2 linked regions of the Caenorhabditis elegans genome follow. The protein of the gene in region 1 purifies or fractionates together with the protein of each later gene. This does not show direct contact. Each region holds a gene or a part of one and is shown in the gene's direction. Other genes may lie near its edges.

What was found.
Region 2: the proteins of cpr-4 (region 1) and asp-3 fractionate together in Caenorhabditis elegans (co-fractionation; one large-scale study listed by BioGRID). This does not show direct contact.

The regions. Positions count from the first base shown.
Region 1 is NC_003283.11:6,612,586-6,616,523, forward strand, and holds cpr-4 (Cathepsin B-like cysteine proteinase 4), read left to right. Parts: upstream 1-2,088; 5' UTR 2,089-2,126; coding exon 2,127-2,129; intron 2,130-2,178; coding exon 2,179-3,183; 3' UTR 3,184-3,266; downstream 3,267-3,938. UniProt on the Caenorhabditis elegans protein: Thiol protease which shows activity against the fluorogenic substrate z-Arg-Arg-AMC.
Region 2 is NC_003284.9:6,789,482-6,793,486, forward strand, and holds asp-3 (Aspartic protease 3), read left to right. Parts: upstream 1-1,582; 5' UTR 1,583-1,709; coding exon 1,710-1,768; intron 1,769-1,848; coding exon 1,849-2,125; intron 2,126-2,176; coding exon 2,177-2,281; intron 2,282-2,334; coding exon 2,335-3,090; 3' UTR 3,091-3,228; downstream 3,229-4,005. Other genes in the region: sgca-1 (Dystroglycan-type cadherin-like domain-containing protein), read right to left, coding at 1-46. UniProt on the Caenorhabditis elegans protein: Aspartic protease. Part of the necrosis cell death pathway. Involved in neuronal cell degeneration. Involved in heat stress response.

The DNA.
Region 1 (3,938 bases):
ATAGATTCAAATTTTTGCTGCTATAGACAAATTTCAGACATTTTCCTCATCTTGTACTTCATTATTATATTTATACCTATTTGTACCTACATATTAGGCCTCCCGGCAATTTACCATCTGGCAATTTTCCATTGACATGTCACCTTGAAATTATATTTGTCGTAACTGAAGACAGTATACATATATTTTTCAAATTCTTAATGTGCCTGAACTGTGTAGTATTTCAAAACCTTATCATGTGAAAATTTCATTAATTTCATTGTAATCCGGAAGTTTGTTTTCAAGGCGTTGATACACATGACGTCAAGTACAGTTTTTAAAATCAAATGTTCATTACCGGTTCATGAAACTGACTAATACATAGAAACTCAATAGAAAAAAAATTATCGAAACTAATATCGCACTTCTGCTCTCCCCATTTTTTCATCTTTGAGCACGTCAGGAGTCACGCTGTAAACAAGAATTGTGGAATTAATACTTCAACGACATTTTGATATCAAAAGCAAATTTCGTGAAACGGTAGAAGAAAATAGGTTTATCATTGGACGGATGGTAGAAAATTGTTTAAACATCGAAAAATGGAAAATCGGAAACATTCGAGAAGCAATAAAATATTGGAGGCACAGTTCAATCAAATTCAGGCATAAAATATAAAAATAAACCCACTGTTAAATTCGAAAATAAACCCACTGTTAAAAAGTTAAATTCAAATAAATAAGCTAATATTTCATAAAACATCTATAAAAAAGATATGATGCGGAGTTTGTCTGCTGTCAATTTTGACAGCTTCTCCTATGGCTGTTATTTAGGACATACTAGGTCGTCCTCTTAAATTTTGTGTGCTTAGCGTCCTCTTAACAGGAAACTTCAGGCTCAAATCCGTATCTAGATAATATTGGCCCAAATAATCGATTTTTGTTAATAAAATTAATGTATCAAAATCGAGAACGATGTGGACGTCCTATTTATGAACCCTAGCTTGTCCCATTTCAGATTGACTTCTGAAAACTGTGGCAATTCGTGTTTTTGATACTTTGGGCGCATAACACTTTTTTTCTACATAGAATCCTCAACATAAAATTTTGTGACGTAAAAGTTTGAAATCCACGTATTGCCACGGCTTCTGTGTCATGAGGTATGTAGAAGGAAATATACTAGCCTGCAGTAAGATTTCAGGTTTTCTGGAAGTATATAGAACGGTTCAAAAAGTATTGAAAACCCCACATATAATTATGAAAATTGCACATAAAAATGTTGCTGGTTTTCCAAAAATCTTTTCCAAAATTAAAAAAGAATTACAGAAATGAGTAGATGGTCAACCTGTCAGGAAGACCCCTTCGCTTCGGAAATCTTTAATTCTTCTTCATTATGAAATTCAATTAAGCCAGAAAGTATGCGTGACACTTGTTGGATTGTGAAAGCAAAAAAAATACCACCGGTTTCAGATATTGTAAACCAGGTTTTAAAAAGCGGGCAGTTTTAAAATTTAACTATGAAAATGATACTTTCTGAAGTTGTAAAAAAAGAATATCACAACTTCTGTTTGAAAATGAAAATTTGGAAAAGCCTATTGGGAAATACTAATGTTGAAAACTACAATTTTGTTTAATTCGCAAAATTTCAGAGCATTCCATTCTTTAAGGTTTTCGAATTTTCTGGAGCAGTCAGTCACGTTGATTTTTTCAGGATAAATGCACGAAGAGACGCACCAAATTATTGCCACATTGAACTTAAAATTTATTTTTGGCGAGTACAGAGGAAACAAAGTAGTCCTCATAGTTCAAACCTTCTTGCTACTTTTACACCTAACCTAAAAATTGAGTACTTCTAATCTGGTTCCAAATGATAACTTTCGTTGAACCACACAACTTCCAAACTCTTATCAAAGTTGCACGAGATCATTGTGCTCAAATGATGGTGCTGCGTCACATGACTACCTCCTAATTAGGCATTGTCTATCGAAATTTGCGCTGCCAGGTACCGCAAATTTTTTCAATTTTAATCCCGGACGCCAATGATAAGAGATAACGAGCACTCCCGAACTGATAACGAGTCAACTATAAAAGACCATCGCAATGAAGTAACTTCAGCATTTGCTCTATCTTGCTATTTGCTCTTTTACAAAAATGGTAAGTGGTTGTTTTAGCGTGAAGTTTAATAATTGTAATTGTCTTGAAGAAATACCTCATTCTTGCTGCCTTGGTGGCTGTTACCGCCGGACTCGTTATTCCACTTGTTCCAAAAACCCAAGAAGCTATCACCGAGTATGTGAACTCAAAGCAATCTCTCTGGAAGGCTGAGATTCCAAAGGACATCACCATTGAACAGGTCAAGAAGCGTCTCATGAGAACCGAATTCGTTGCCCCACACACTCCAGATGTTGAGGTTGTGAAGCATGATATCAACGAGGATACCATTCCAGCAACATTCGATGCCCGTACCCAATGGCCAAACTGTATGTCAATCAACAACATCCGTGACCAATCTGACTGTGGATCCTGCTGGGCGTTCGCTGCCGCCGAGGCTGCTTCTGATCGTTTCTGCATCGCCTCCAACGGAGCCGTCAACACCCTTCTCTCAGCTGAAGATGTTCTTTCTTGCTGCTCCAACTGCGGATACGGATGCGAGGGAGGATACCCAATCAACGCCTGGAAGTACCTTGTCAAGAGCGGATTCTGCACCGGAGGATCTTACGAGGCTCAGTTCGGATGCAAGCCATACTCCCTTGCCCCATGCGGAGAGACCGTCGGAAACGTTACCTGGCCATCTTGCCCAGATGATGGATACGATACCCCAGCTTGTGTTAACAAGTGCACCAACAAGAACTACAACGTTGCCTACACCGCTGACAAGCACTTCGGAAGCACCGCTTACGCCGTCGGAAAGAAGGTCTCCCAGATCCAAGCTGAAATCATTGCCCACGGACCAGTCGAGGCCGCATTCACTGTCTACGAGGACTTCTACCAATACAAGACCGGAGTCTACGTTCACACCACTGGACAAGAACTCGGAGGACATGCCATCAGAATTCTTGGATGGGGAACTGACAACGGAACTCCATACTGGCTTGTTGCCAACTCATGGAACGTCAACTGGGGAGAGAACGGATATTTCCGTATCATCCGTGGAACCAACGAGTGCGGAATTGAGCACGCCGTTGTCGGAGGAGTCCCAAAAGTCTAAATAATCTATTTGATTGAAGTATTTGTTTTCATACGTGTATATAGATATGAATAATAATAAATGATTATGCATCGAGAGTCAAATGTTGATTGATATATTTGAATCGTGGACTGATAGGATCATGAAGCACATATTTGTGAGGAGAAAGTTTAAACTTCGCATTTTGCTTCAATGATCAGTTTCATTAAAGTTTTTCGAAGCAAAATGAGAATGCGATAAAGTTAGAGATAATTTGGAAAGTAGTTAGCAACTTAAAGAAGGTATAGTATAGTGAATACTGAAGCATGGAGTGGTATCCAGAGAAAACCATAAAAATCTTTTTACAAATTCCATCCCTTTCAGTTTCAGAAATGTCTGAAAATTATTAAAGTTTACAACTGATCACTTAGAATTCTTAAAAACACAATTTGATGTACCCGTCTCCGGGTAATATCATTTCATTGCAAAAAATGAAAGCCCCCAATTTTTGGTCTCATAACAATCCCTCACTTTAAACATTCCTTCCCTGATTTTACATTCAAAATCTGGCAAATATGGGATACTGTAGATGAATATAATTAGTTTGACATACGCTAATCAGGTTTTGACATACATACAGTAACCCTTAATCGAAGCGGTTTCTTGGATATTTTCTCGCAAGAATCATGTTGCGCGAAAAACAACGTTTGCGAAGTTTAATATCTGATAACAGTTTTATAGATGAATTTATAGTGTTGACATAGTGTTGACGCATTTCACTTTAATATTTTGGAGTC
Region 2 (4,005 bases), on another chromosome or scaffold:
GCAACAAAATGGAGAATATCGAAAAATCGAGTAAACGAATTTTCATTTTAAGTGAAGATTTTGTGTGAAAGAGATGTGTGGAACGAGATCCTTTACAACGGCTGCTCGCTGAGCCGTCCGCACAAACTTTTGCTTTTTACACAGCTCAACTGGGTTGGCGGTTTGAGGGAAGCTGCCAACAAGACCCGCCGGGGAAATCATTGTTGACGATATTTTAGAGCATGATGAACTTGATGAGATAAACTGATGTGGTGGGGTTGATTGATGTCGTCTCAATAATGTTTTTAAGATAAAAATAATGAATATATACATTAAAAACGATACTTGAAAGAAAACGTGATATGAATGTCTTTATTTGGAATTTTGGTTTCAGGAGAGTCTCTCTTTCAGAAATTCAGAAAAGGGGTGAACAATTTTTAATCTAAAAGGTAAAAAGTTGTTAAAGAAAGAGTAAATATTAAGAAAATTGTAAATTTTTCAAAGTTAGACTTTTTAAAATCATTAAAAAAAACTAGAGCTAGGTAAAACTTCAATTTTGTTTAATTAGCCTTGACACAGCGGCTGGGAAATAATTTATCATTCTACAAAAAGTTTTTTCATTTTCGTCATTTATACACTTTTTTTTGTTGAAAAAACTAGAATTCAGAGTTTGTCAAAGGTTGGGTATTGGCCGTTGTGAAAATGAAATTTAAATTGTGGTTTAAAGGTTTAAGACTATAGTGAAACTTTTCAAACGACTTTTTAAATTTTTTGTGCAGTCGAAAATTCAAGAAAACTTAGTTTTCACCTATCATAATTCTGGAAGTGGCTGGAAAACAATATAATTTCCAAAATTTCAACTTAAAAGTATATATATCTAAAAGTTTTTGAAGTATGTATATTTATATTATGATTATTGGTCATGCACGACTAATATAAGTGTTTTTAAGCCAACAAAAAATATTGTTAAAAAACTTTCGGCCAATTTATAGTAACACATGTTTTACTACTTAAAACTTCAATACTTGGTTCAATGAAACAAATTTATAAAAATTACTTCAGGTTCTAAAATTATTAGTAATTGTATACACACCTGCTCCACCACTGCAACAGTTCTCAATTTATTTCATCTAGTCCAATGTCCAAATTCTGATTTCGTATTCCCTATCTACTTCGTAACGAAAATTGTGAGACAATTTGACGATAATGATAATGATTTCATATTTTGTGAAAATAAGCCGATTAAATTTTTAACGTGTGGAACTTTCTAGAACTAATTTTAAAGTGTAGTCATATTTTAATAGGGGAGAACAAATCTGAATTGTAGGCCATTGAAATTGTTATTTTGATCAGAATGACGATGAGGGTGTGACGACGACAAAGCAGTGTTGACTTGTTGCTGAAAGTACATATGATTTTGCTGGAAAAAGTTTAATGTGTTCTTTTGGCAAACAGAACGCTATAAAATCCGGATCCTTGTCAGCAAGTCATTTTGTCAACCCGGACACTTTTTAATGGTTTTCCCTCATTTTACACACAAAGTACACTACTTTAATAGCCGATCTAAACTTTTGACTCGGTGAGAGGAAATAATTCCGTTTTCAGCCAGCCAACCTCCTCTACTAATTATCACTAAAATCGGTTGTGACGTTTACAATTATATCATCAAGAGTTTGTGTCGCATATAAAAGAAACCCGGAGCGCTGCTTCTCAATTAGTGATAACGCACCATGTCGGGCCGCGTTTTCCTTCTTCTGGCTCTTGTCGCCTTGGCTTCTGCCATCCAGAGGTTAGTTACATTTTTAATATACCATTCATATATTTAAATTATTTTATTTTATTTATTTATCATGTTTCTTCTTTTTTTAGAATCAAGCTCGAGAAGCGCACTTACACTCGTGAACAATACAAGTTCGGATCAATCCAAGAGCATCTTAAGGCCAAGTACGTCCCAGGATACATTCCAAACAAGGATGCATTCAACGAGGGTCTTTCTGATTACTCCAATGCTCAATACTATGGACCAGTGACCATTGGAACTCCACCACAAAACTTCCAAGTTTTGTTCGATACTGGATCCTCCAACTTGTGGGTGCCATGCGCCAACTGCCCATTCGGAGATATTGCCTGCAGAATGCACAACAGAGTTAGTTTTGAAGTATTCAAATCAACTTTTTTTCAATAAAATAATTTTCAGTTTGATTGCAAGAAGTCTTCTTCCTGCACTGCTACTGGAGCCTCTTTCGAGATCCAATACGGAACTGGATCCATGAAGGGAACCGTTGACAACGATGTTGTCTGCGTAAGTCAATCTTATGATGTTATTTACAATATAGCTGAAAAATATATTTATAGTTCGGACATGATACCACCTACTGTACTGATAAGAACCAAGGATTGGCCTGTGCTACTTCTGAGCCAGGAATCACCTTCGTCGCTGCCAAGTTTGACGGTATCTTCGGAATGGGATGGGACACTATCTCTGTTAACAAGATCTCTCAGCCAATGGACCAAATCTTCGCCAACTCCGCCATCTGCAAGAATCAACTATTCGCTTTCTGGCTTAGCCGTGACGCCAACGACATCACCAACGGAGGAGAAATTACCCTTTGCGACACCGATCCGAACCACTACGTCGGAAACATCGCTTGGGAGCCACTCGTCTCTGAGGACTACTGGAGAATCAAGCTCGCTTCGGTTGTCATCGATGGAACCACCTACACCAGCGGACCAATCGACTCGATTGTTGACACTGGAACTTCCCTTCTCACTGGACCAACTGATGTCATCAAGAAGATCCAACACAAGATCGGAGGAATCCCACTCTTCAATGGAGAGTACGAAGTTGAGTGCAGCAAGATTCCATCTCTTCCAAACATCACCTTCAACCTCGGAGGACAAAACTTCGATCTTCAAGGAAAGGACTACATCCTTCAAATGTCCAACGGAAACGGAGGATCCACCTGCCTCTCTGGATTCATGGGAATGGATATTCCAGCCCCAGCCGGACCACTCTGGATTCTCGGAGACGTCTTCATCGGACGCTTCTACTCGGTCTTCGATCATGGAAACAAGAGAGTTGGATTTGCCACCTCTAGAACCGGAAAATAAGCCTATTTCTAATTTAAAAACTCAATTTCTATGCCATTACTTGCTTGATTGTAATAAATGTGGTTATGTGATGATAAGAAGTTCTAAAACAGTTCTTTCTATACGTTTGCAAGAATTCTAAAAACCCTGACTGGCTTCTTGATAACAAAGTTTACATTGGGTGGGAGGAAAACACAATTTTATGAGTTTTATTTTATGCTGTACTCAAAGAAAACAAAAAATCCAAAGCTTTCGCGAAACATGTGGTTCTCACTTTTTCATGACGCAAGAAATTTTCGTACTTTTCTCACTTGTTCCAGCATGATTCAAATGCTTTGATACACTCCATTTCCACATGTTTTAAATCTCACTAGTGAACACTTTCCGTAGAATCCTCCAAGAGAATAGTGGCACATTTGTGCTACAAACAATCTGTTAGAAATTTGTTTATATTTTTGACATTCTTCCTTCTATTCCTTCTATTCCTGCTAGCCGATCCTCCTCCCCTCAACTTAGAAGAGACATTTGAGATGTTCGATTAGATTTTATTGAAATATACACTTGTGCACGCAAAAACCGCGCGATTATTGTGCAATACCATGTCGTGTTTGTAAAGGAAGACCGCACACAATGCATGTTTCCGGTGACTCGGAAAATATACGTGAATTTATGCTTTGCGTAAATAGAAGTTACGAAACTTCTTTCTTCCGTTTTTTCTCTACTTGAAAGTCTGAATTTTTGTTTTAGACTAAATTCAAAATTTGTTTTGAGAAATTTTTTTTAATTGAGGGAACTTTCCCTGGATATTTTTCTAACGCTATGCAAAGCATTGCAATGTGCTAATTTTTAAAGTACAACTATTCTAAAAACTTTAAAATGTTTTATTTACTGTCAAAAACTTATTATAATATTGTCAGTCGACAAGCTACAAGAAAT